3 linked regions of the Schizosaccharomyces pombe genome follow. The gene in region 1 interacts genetically with each later gene. Each region holds a gene or a part of one and is shown in the gene's direction. Other genes may lie near its edges.

Evidence for each region.
Region 2: mutations in mid1 (region 1) and cdc12 impair growth when combined (synthetic growth defect), as found in Schizosaccharomyces pombe (6 studies listed by BioGRID, with this or other methods).
Region 3: mutations in mid1 (region 1) and cdc15 impair growth when combined (synthetic growth defect), as found in Schizosaccharomyces pombe (4 studies listed by BioGRID, with this or other methods).

The regions. Positions count from the first base shown.
Region 1 is NC_003421.2:1,148,522-1,152,277, reverse strand, and holds the start of mid1 (anillin-related medial ring protein Mid1), read left to right. Parts: upstream 1-1,842; 5' UTR 1,843-2,062; coding exon 2,063-3,756. Other genes in the region: SPOM_SPCC4B3.13 (MatE family transporter), read left to right, coding at 1-35; protein Cwf20, read left to right, coding at 564-1,436. UniProt on the Schizosaccharomyces pombe protein: Scaffold protein that anchors the contractile ring (CR) at the cell equator during cytokinesis.
Region 2 is NC_003424.3:281,707-285,462, forward strand, and holds the start of cdc12 (cytokinetic formin Cdc12), read left to right. Parts: upstream 1-1,637; 5' UTR 1,638-1,769; coding exon 1,770-3,756. Other genes in the region: exocytic docking protein Mso1, read left to right, coding at 243-698. UniProt on the Schizosaccharomyces pombe protein: Plays a role in the cell cycle. Involved in cytokinesis. Component of the cell division ring. In the absence of profilin, caps the barbed end of actin filaments, thus preventing subunit addition and dissociation.
Region 3 is NC_003424.3:1,401,181-1,404,936, reverse strand, and holds the start of cdc15 (F-BAR domain protein Cdc15), read left to right. Parts: upstream 1-2,000; 5' UTR 2,001-2,050; coding exon 2,051-2,131; intron 2,132-2,189; coding exon 2,190-2,281; intron 2,282-2,457; exon of another isoform or gene 2,458-2,472; coding exon 2,473-3,756. Other genes in the region: CCR4-Not complex subunit Not1, read right to left, coding at 1-1,615. UniProt on the Schizosaccharomyces pombe protein: After the onset of mitosis, forms a ring-like structure which colocalizes with the medial actin ring. Appears to mediate cytoskeletal rearrangements required for cytokinesis. Essential for viability.

The DNA.
Region 1 (3,756 bases):
TTGAACTTGCTAATCGTCAGTTTGATGAGGCTTAAAAGTTGATACGGACAAGTTAATGATTATTTAAATATGTATTGTGGTTTGTCATAAATTGATATATTTGAAGAGATATGTTCGGTTTATGATACCATGGTTACGACTACTAACAGTTGATTGATAAAAGTATTCGAGTCGGTACTTTTTCCAGTCTTCAAGATTTGGCCATGTTTTGGCCTATCCTAAAAATTAAGTTTACGAAAATTGCAGTGCTTTAAACTCTCATATTTATGAAGCTTATAAAAGTAAATTAAATTAATGGTAATTTGGAATCTTTTTGGGTGATTAATATATAAAATACCACATATGCTAGCTAGCAACGTTGGGCGGTAGCATTCAATTAAATATTATTTCTTTTTAAGACTTACTTAAAGAATTAATTTAAGTTTGAATAAATATGTAAATCATCTTGCAGATGCGAGTATATTAATTGCCATAAATAATTCTGTTCGCAGTGAGAATAGTTACCGAGTACAAATCGCTCGCTCAGAATTATTAAACGACTTAATATCAAAAGTTAATAAAATATGTCTCTGGTTTCATATCCTCGATCAGAATCCGAAAGCGATATTGAAGAAGAAACACCATTAGCTTCTAAAAGTTTCGATCCTACTTTGTTTCAGCATGCGCGCAGAAAATTGTCGGTTGACAGCACTAAAAAGTCACCTAAACGCCTGAAACGGCAAGTTGATTTACAGAAATCTTCTTTTAATGATAAAACTTTTAATGAATCTGATGTTATCTCTAATGAACGATTTAAATCTAATGATTTACTTGAACTTTTGCCTGCCCCAAAAAATCAAGCTGAATTAGCTCCAAAGTCATCTAAAAGATCGGACCTTGATTTAAATGAAAACTATTTATTACCTAATAACTCTGTAAGCGATTTAACCTCTACTGGATCCTCCGAAACTGTCAAGAAATCAACGTATTCAGAAAAGTCTGGTAACGTTTCGTTATTTAATATCGTAGGATCAGAGTCAAAGCAAGCCTCTTTAGTAGATTCCGATCAGAAACCTTACCAACCAATTTTGATAAAACCTAAAGCTAGAGCAAATCCTCCGAAATTGAGGAATCAACCCGAGAACGATTTCATTTCTATTGCTAATCACTCAGTACATTCAAATGCAGAGGACATAAACATTATCAATGAAGATTACATTGAAATTGGACGCCACCGAAAAGAGAAGGGACGAATTATAGACGTTGATATCAACAAACTTCCAAAACCGACCCAAGAAGCATTGCCAAGCGCCCCTACTATTAAAAGTGTTGCACCTGGTCGTCATCAACTGTCTTCTCTTGTTGAAATGGCTATCAGTCAAAAAGACAACTTTGAAGCTTATTTTGAGCAGCAACGATCAAACAAAAAGGCATCTTCTCAAAAGTATGGGTTTTAGCTTTAAGTAAATGTTACGCCCCGATAGTTAGTTTTAGGTTTTAACTGCTCGTGTATTTGTAAATTAAAAGCTGTTTATCAACAGATTCATTTTATGTATTTTTTTTTAGTTTCTGCGAAAATAGCAGACAACAAAATATGATTTTACTTATTTTATTTTACATACTAATGACTTTATTCATCGCTATTCATAAGCATACTGATAATACAATATTATCTTTGCAAGTATGTCCCAGCTATAATTCATATTTGCAATGCAACTAGCCTTTTTTTGTTAATTTTAAAAAGGAAACTTGGCTTTAATCTTCGATTTATGGTATATCCAGAGTTTGAATTGTTTAACCATATAATCAGTGTTCTCACTGGGACTACCACTTATCATAGCGTCTACCGATTTTGTGTGACCTATGCCTACTCCACATGACTGAGGTGAAGAAGGATTTCAATAAATTATAAGAGGTTTTCGTGCTTTTAGCATCAATTTTAATAGAATTTGAATTAATATTTGCTATAAAGAAGAAGGCTCGTCTTTTGTTGTACTTCAGGGTGCTTATATGATACTGTGTCCACATTTTAACACTCGATAAGGTATTATAGTCTGTAAAGTCTAATTAAGCTATCCTGACGATGAAAGAGCAAGAGTTCTCATATAGAGAAGCAAAAGATGTGTCTCTTGACTCTAAAGGCTTAGAAAACAGTTTTCTTTCTTCTCCAAATCGAGAAAAAACACCCCTTTTTTTTGAGGGTAACAGTAATGAAACCTCGGGATATGATCAAACAAAAAACTTTACACATGGAGATGGCGATATGTCCCTTGGAAACCTTTCGGAACTAAACGTTGCGACAGATCTTTTAGAGTCACTTGATTTAAGAAGCATGTATATGCATGGCTATGGGCACCTCGATTCATCTTTTTCTTCTCAACATAGTCCTGATAATCGTAAAAGAATGAGTAGTACATCAGTGTTTAAGAGGATTAATTCCGAGGAAGAAGGTCGCATTCCTAGTTTGACGTACTCGGCAGGAACTATGAACTCGACAAGTTCTTCTACTGCGTCTTTGAAAGGTGCTGATATTGTTGCAGATTATGAAACATTTAATCCGGATCAAAATTTAGCTGAATTATCCTTTGACCGCTCCAAATCGTCTCGCAAGAGGGCGGTAGAAGTAGCAGAATTTAGTCGAGCTAAGACAATGTCTCCGTTGGAATACACTGTTCAACATCCATATCAATCCCATAATGAACTGTCTACAAACCCAGCCCGAGCAAGAGCTGGAAGCGTTCCCAACTTGGCTCGCATACCATCTGATGTCAAGCCCGTACCTCCAGCACATCTATCTGCATCTTCTACTGTAGGTCCAAGGATTCTTCCTAGTCTTCCCAAAGATACCACAGAGGACAATCCAGCGTTGGAAAGGGTCGAAACGACGGCGTCTCTCGATATGGATTATAAACCTTTAGAACCTTTAGCTCCCATTCAGGAAGCCCCTGTTGAAGATACTTCAGAGCCTTTTTCTTCAGTCCCAGAGGCCACCTTAGACGACTCAGATATCTCTACAGAAAGTCTTCGTAAAAAGGTTTTGGCCAAGATGGAAGCAAAACGGATTTCCAGTGGATCTTCCTATGCTAGTACACTTAGGAAAGTTTATGATTTCTCTGAGCTTTCCCTTCCCACCAACGGTAAAGACTATGATGAGTTATACCTTCAATCTTCCCGTAATTCAGAACCTGAGATTTCTACTATTATCAATGATTCTTTACAACAGGAAAATATGGATGAGGATATTAGTGCCACTTCAATTCCGAAATCTCAGGCCGCCTATGGTCATGGATCTGTAACGTATCATGAAGTCCCCAGATACAATCTAACTTCTGCTTCCGTGGGATATAGTATATCTAGTCAACGTGGTCGTATAAAAAGCAGTTCTACCATTGACAATTTGAGTGCTATTTTAAGCTCTGAAGATTTACGTCACCCATCAATGCAACCCGTACCAGGAACGAAGCGTACTTATAGTAATTATTGTGAAAATGAGCCAAACAAGTCTAGCCAAAGTTTAGTCAGTTCTGAGTCCCATAACGTCGAAGGATGGAATTATTCGGAAACTGGTACAGTAGGTTTTTACGACCCTAGTGCCGAGATATCCGCCAGCATTGATGAACTTAGGCAGTCTACGCCTGTAGCCAGAGATAGCGAACTTTTAAGTCGTGCACATTCCTTTGATTTGAATCGCCTTGATCTTCCAAGTCAGGATAAGAGTACGTCTTACGAAGTCCCGAATGGTACTGAAAATCAATCACCACGTCCTGTTACTTCTCT
Region 2 (3,756 bases), on another chromosome or scaffold:
TTACATTCGTTAAAACATATAATGTAGTTCATGGTCGTGTTATTAATCACTTTAGACAGTTTAGCGAGTTGGCGTCTTTATGAAATCCGCGTCGCCAGATATTAAGCCGTTCTTGGCATCATAATAATGGCTAAACTTTTTTATTAATTACTTTTATTGAAATTTTTTGAATTCAAATGCCAAGGTTCTTTAAAATTTAGAGATTAAGTAGTACATAAAGAAACGCGAACTCTCGATTCATCATGTGGTCAAAGTTATCGATTTCTTCAAAAATTAATCGTATTCGCGACCCTGAAAGCGATAATACGATTGAAGATACTCACGTTGCTCGTGTAATGAGAAAATACTATATGGACAAAATTGGGACATTACCTGAATGGCTTCGTCCTCCTGGATGGCAGCCTCCAGTTAACACAGGACCTACTTCCCCAGTTAGCATAAATGCAAGTAATGCGGCTCCTTCAAATTTAAAAGCTTCATATATTCCGGCCAATCCTAGGAGGCTATCGTCCTCCACTTCCTCTGCTTCGTCTCCCCCTTTACGACGATTACCTTCTGTTCAACATAGTACCTTTGACGATTTGTTTGAAGGTGTCGGAAGTCTTCAAAAATCACCTTCCACCACGAAACCTCTTTCCTCTACACCTTCCGGCTCATTGCTACGGTCAAAATTTGATCACACTAGAAAGAAGTTTTAGTTGACACAACGATACCTTTACTTTACTCTCATTGGTATCTGTTAATGGCGTATTAATGATCAAAACGACTTTTTGTTTCTTTGAAAATGCTGTTACTACGTATGTGTTATTCTCAACCTCGTTTGTTAATAACTAAGCCCATCTTACCCAGAAGTTCGACATTTGTCAGTACAGAGGCATAATTACTTATTTTACAACTTTGAGTTAGCTCACCTTTTCTGGTTTTTCCTTTAGTAATTATTTTTGGAATGACCTGACAATAAGGTGCACTATCCTAAGCAACTCGCCTTTAGTTTGAGAACTATCATTTAGTCTAATTAAATAACCATCACATGTTCTTTATGTTTCTAACCGGATTGTAGCTTTAAAAATTAAACTGTTCAAAAAGCGCTTGGTAGAATTAAAGCTAGTAGCTGAAATCAATTCAACATTATAAAAACTTATCGTTACATACAGCGCATCGTATAGGTTTCTTTAATTTCTAACTCGAACACTTAGGGACGAATTGTGAAAATTCGTTATTGTAATTTAATATGGTATGTAAATAAAAGCACCAATGGATTCGTTCTTGTGATTCTCGTTTATTTGCAAATTTCTGGTTATATTTAGCTCAACGTGACAACAAAATATGTTACGAATGCTTTGTAAGTAAAAATGATCTTCACGAATGTATTTTCTCATTGAACAACGTTTTAAGCAACCAGAAACCGCATCCAAATGCAGACTAGACTTACAAGACGAGAATTTCGATTATCCTAAAAATAAAATTTAATACGCTATAACGCAATTTAACCATTATAATATTAGATATATCGAAGTTTCATTTCCTTTCAACTTACTTGTTCGCAAGTATACGTATTATCTTAGATCATTTAAGCCATCCCAACCCTTACTCGCTAAGTGTTCCACTTTATCCAAATTTGAAGGTCAACAAGTTCTGAACATCAACTTTTAGCAAATTTAAAAAAAAGGTTTAATTGAGCTAAAACTTTTCATCACAGTTTCCTTGTTAATACTTGAAAACAAGATCCTGAAAGCAATTACAATGCTGCATTCGTTTATGAAGTAGAGATGCGAAATTCGTCAAAGGGACAGGACCCTAATTTTTCTTATGACTCTATTCTGTCTACTCCAACTCCATCAGCCAGAAGAACTATTGGGCCAAGGGCTCCTAAGTCCAAAACAACGTACCATAAACCTCCATCATCCATAGAATCAGTATCGACGTTAATCCAGCCTAATAAGTCCCAATCAGTTACTTCTCCGTATGTAAAGCAATTTACCTTTTCATCGAAAGAGTACAATTCTCATAATAAACATGCTTTGCAAAATTCCCAGCTTCCTTTACCTAAAACACCCGAGAAATCTACTGTCCATCGACCCAAAGCGAATAAAGTTGAAGTCACTGATCTACCATCTTCGTCTTCCGTTGAACATTTGCACACTTCTAAACATCTCAAGGGTCCTAGGTTGCCCAAAAACATTATTAAAAGTTCTGAGGATGTCCAAATTGCTCCAGTGACACCCCCTGTACATTCTCGCTCTTTTGATCCTTTGCCGAAACCTCCTGTTCCCTCAGTTCCAGTATCTAAGACAAAAAGGCGAACTAAGCATAAACTTGCTCCTGTTGTTGAAGTCCCTGAGATTACCAACGAGGTTTCCCCAAAATTCACTTCTACTAATGATGAACAAGTTTATCGACTACGTTCAATTCGAGCTGGGAGCCCTAATTCGGTATGCTCGTTTCAGTTTGAAATTCCGAGTACTCGACCACCTTCATTGGATCAGCTAATACATCTATTCAACGATTTTTTAAGACACCCTGTATTTGATTTTGACGAAAACGCCATTGAAATGCTTCAAAGTTGTACTCCAGATGAAAAGTGGTGTTTTATTCGTTCTAACTTCGCCGGGTTTGATGATCCTTCTTTCCAAATTCCAGAATTAGCTGCCGTCCATAGACCTGTTTCCTGGTTCGTAATCCAACTATGGAATAAAACAATTAGTAATTTACAACTTATCACACTTTCTTCTTTATTATCAACTCAATCCGATCGATGGATATCTCTTTTTCTTGAACTGCAGGGACTTCGAGCTTTGCATAATCTACTTACATATTTTAATTCGTCTGCCGTAGTGCAGCCTCAGCAAGCTGAAGTTCCTCGTTGCATGCTTACTCTTTTGAAGAAAAAACCTACTCTGGTTACTTCCAATTCTTATATATTTCAAGCAATAACAGTGACCCTTATATCCCCAAATTTGCTTCCGAGGAAAGTAGCCGCAGATTTATTGACATGGGTTCTGTCTTTAAAGGAACCTCTTGTGGTCTCCATATTGGAAACTGGATTTAAAGAAATAAATGCCGAATATGAAAAGGAGGTTCCGCTATTCTTTGGATGGATAAAATCTTTCAAAGACATAATCTTGGAAAAAGAATTAGCACGAACCCCTCCATCTTCTCCTGCTCGAAATTCTGCTTCCAGCTCACCTTCAAACATAGCGTTTCTTGAGTATTGTACTTCCACTATGGAATTTATCAATCAGCTAATTGTTGCTTGCGAAGAATTGGAGCAAGGATTTGACCTTGATATATTGGATTCCCTTCGTGAATCAGGTATACACGAAGTTATACAACTTCTACGTAACTTTCCTGACCAACAACTTGAGAAACAACTAAACATATATGAATCAGAAGAAGAGAGGAGGACTATAAGTCAGACCACGCATGAAGATGTCGATTCCTTTATGTCAAATGAATCCTCAATTTTAAGTAGCTTCAATGAATTTGCATCAAATGAAGTTGGCCGTTTACTTGAATCAACTATTCAAAACATACTACTTGCCAAAGGTACTGAAAAGCAAAAGGTGAAACTTATCAAGGTTTTTAACTCTTTACTTCAAAGAATACTGCTCAATTCAAAAGTATCCAATGAAAGTTTTGAAGATAGTTTACAGGCATCTTTAAATATGCTAACCGAAAGATTCTATTCGGATGACACAGCCAGAAATGCTTTGAAGGAAGCAAAGGCGTCACGTGCAATGGCTGAGAAAATGGTTA
Region 3 (3,756 bases), on another chromosome or scaffold:
CAAATCGATTTGGTTGAATGTTGCCGATGTGAGATGTAAAATCATTTTCGATAATAAACTCTACTACCTGATTCACAGATGAACTATCCTTCAGCCACAAACTGCGTAAAAAGGCGAACAAAAATTGAGGGTTTGTTCGTTCAATCCTAACGAAGACAAATTTATGTTCTTTGAAATTGGAAAAAAAGTCTGAACACCATTGAAACGCTAATGACTCTTGAACAGGATTCCATGCCAAAGGGAGCTGCAGCGTACCCAAAAGCAAAAGCTCGGCAGAAACTTTCTCATCCAAAAAATTCAAGAACAGTGAAGTTTCGTAGGTGACTACCTCAGATAACAGGCGTAAAAGGATTTGGACAAGTTCAATGCAATTTAAATTACTTTTTTCATATATTTTCGCATAATTAACAAGCTCTTCGCTATAATCCTTTAAGCTATCAACAGAAACTACAGGATTGACATTGAACTCTCTTATATCAAACATCGATGTTGGGGATAGGATAATATGAGAAATGATGGAAAGTTGCGGTAAAGGATTTCTCCAAAGAACCCAGAGAAAGTCCAACGTAAAATTAGTTTGCCTTAACTTGTAAGCATTTGTAAAGATTGTGAAGAACAGTACAAGACTAGGTGTACCCGTTATCATAAATTTAGGATTATCGAACATAGAAAGCATAGCTTCCCAATTTAGGTTTTCAAAAGAGGAAACGATAGCTTTACCCATCAAAACAGTGTCCCAAGCACCATAATCATGTATAGCTACAAGTGAATTTATAAGATAAGCAACATCAGTCTCAGTAGCCGTTCCCGGGGGATATTTTTTAAGAATTGCTTCTTTCATAGACTTAAGTGTAGCTTTGGAAGCTTTCATCGGACCAAACAAAGCTGTAAGAGGGCGTGAATTCGCCAACTTTTTCTCAATTATAGCATCAAACTTTGGAACTTTAATCAAGGGTATTCTGTCATAGTCGGTGGTAAACAAACCTTCCCTGAGCAAATCCAAATCGTTTTTATCAATACTTTGTTGCTGAGTAGGATCGGATAGTTGGTTTAAAAGAGATTGGAATGTGTTTTTAAGCAAAGCAGAAGCTTTCTTTGCTAAAGTAGGTTTAACAGAAGTGGTAAGTCCAATTAAAAGGTTAGTCCTTTCTAACGGGGAGAATTGGAAATGGTCTAAAAATGCCTCTATATCGAAATCTTCAAATACTTCAGAATCAGAACCTGAAATAGCATCACTAAAACGTTTCGCCATGACCCAAGACTTCGTGAGAGATTTTAATTCATCTAGTAGTAATTTATAAGTAGCTAGTCCATCAGAAGATTTACCGGTACCAAAAATACGGTATGAATTTCCTTGAATTAGACGGCGAAGAAAATGGTGGTATACTCTGGGTGCATTTTTGTTGATAAGTTGACGAATCTGTTCAAGTTTCGTATCATATTGGTCTTCCCGTAAGGTCGACAATAAGAAAAGGATTTGTGCTTTAACAATACTTTCAATTTTTGAATCGTTTGGTGGAGGGGTCTTAGAATCTAGTGATATAGGATGCCCAGATTCAGAAGTTGAACTAGATTTCTCTCGTGTCTCCGGCGTTTGTTGTTCTTGGCTCTTCATATTTTTAACGCTTTTCTATTACCATGCCTTTGTGAGGCTATTATTATACTCCTATGCTATTTTCAGCTGATATATTCTTTGAATATTTACAGATGAGATGCAGCAGTATCTGCTAGCAAGTTTGAATGAAAATAGGTGCAGTGGTGTTTTGCAAAAGATATGTCGGTCCTCCTCACTGCCAGGCAGTCTAAGAAAGGATCGAACATTAAATTTAACGAGACTGTATCTTTCGTAAACTTTTTTAACAAAATTTAAGGATAGAGTTAATTTGCAGTTGCTTATTGTGCACTCAGATAGGCAACGGTTGCTAGGGACGGTTGTCACCGCAGTAGTCGCAGTAAACAAACATGTTTACTCTTTTCCTGAAATCGACTACCAGGAATTTACCAACAACAAATCACAAATTTTGCTGCATTTTGTTCTTTCAATAACAAAATGGAGGTTAATGGAGTCTCTCAATCTGAAGCGGCTCCGTACGTTACCAAATCTTCTGTTAAGTTCCGCGATAATTTCTGGGTATGTGTAAATTTGCTGTATTTAGTAAAGCAAAGTTATGTTAACAAAATCGTTGCAGGGATCTGAAGATGCGGGTATGGATGCTCTTATGTCCCGAACAAAATCTTCTCTTTCCGTATTAGAATCAATTGATGAATTTTACGCAAAGCGGTAAGTATGGTTGCCTCGTTTGGAAGTTGCAGCTCTACCTTAAGCGCTACGATGATTCAAGAAATATGTTTTTGGTCGTTTCATTGTCATTTAAGATGTTTTACAGATAATCGTGGATTCTTAAGATAGCTTGTGTAATGAACCGAAGGGTTCGGTATGATTATTGATTAAAGTCTGACTAACTAAATTAGTGCTTCTATTGAGCGTGAGTACGCATCTAAACTGCAAGAGTTAGCTGCCAGCTCAGCAGACATCCCAGAAGTTGGATCAACTTTAAATAATATTTTATCTATGAGAACTGAAACAGGGAGTATGGCCAAAGCGCATGAAGAAGTCTCACAACAGATAAATACCGAATTGCGAAATAAAATTCGCGAGTACATTGATCAGACGGAGCAACAGAAAGTTGTTGCAGCCAATGCCATTGAGGAATTATATCAGAAAAAAACGGCTCTCGAAATAGACTTATCCGAGAAGAAGGATGCCTACGAGTACAGTTGTAACAAGCTGAATAGCTACATGAGACAGACAAAAAAGATGACTGGTCGTGAATTAGACAAATACAATTTAAAAATCCGTCAAGCAGCGCTAGCAGTAAAAAAAATGGATGCGGAATACAGAGAAACAAACGAATTACTTCTTACAGTTACTCGGGAATGGATTGATCGTTGGACAGAGGTCTGTGATGCTTTTCAACATATTGAGGAATATCGTTTAGAGTTTCTCAAAACAAACATGTGGGCCTATGCAAATATAATATCTACTGCTTGTGTAAAAGATGATGAATCTTGTGAAAAGATTCGACTCACACTCGAAAACACTAACATTGATGAAGATATTACTCAAATGATTCAAAACGAAGGTACCGGAACTACAATTCCCCCTTTACCCGAGTTTAATGACTATTTCAAAGAAAACGGATTAAATTATGACATCGACCAGCTCATTTCTAAAGCTCCTTCTTATCCATACTCCTCTTCGCGTCCCTCAGCTTCTGCATCTTTGGCAAGTTCGCCAACACGTAGCGCTTTTCGCCCCAAAACTAGTGAAACAGTTTCATCGGAAGTTGTATCATCACCACCTACTTCACCATTGCATTCACCAGTTAAGCCAGTGTCTAATGAACAAGTTGAACAAGTTACAGAGGTTGAACTTTCTATTCCCGTTCCTTCTATACAAGAAGCTGAATCCCAGAAACCAGTACTTACAGGGAGCTCAATGCGTCGACCTTCTGTAACATCACCAACTTTTGAAGTAGCTGCTCGTCCTTTGACTTCAATGGATGTTAGATCCTCTCATAATGCCGAGACTGAGGTACAGGCTATACCCGCTGCAACAGATATATCACCCGAAGTTAAGGAAGGTAAAAATAGTGAGAATGCTATCACGAAAGATAATGATGATATTATTTTGAGTAGTCAACTTCAACCTACTGCTACCGGAAGTCGGTCATCTAGGTTGTCTTTCTCTCGACA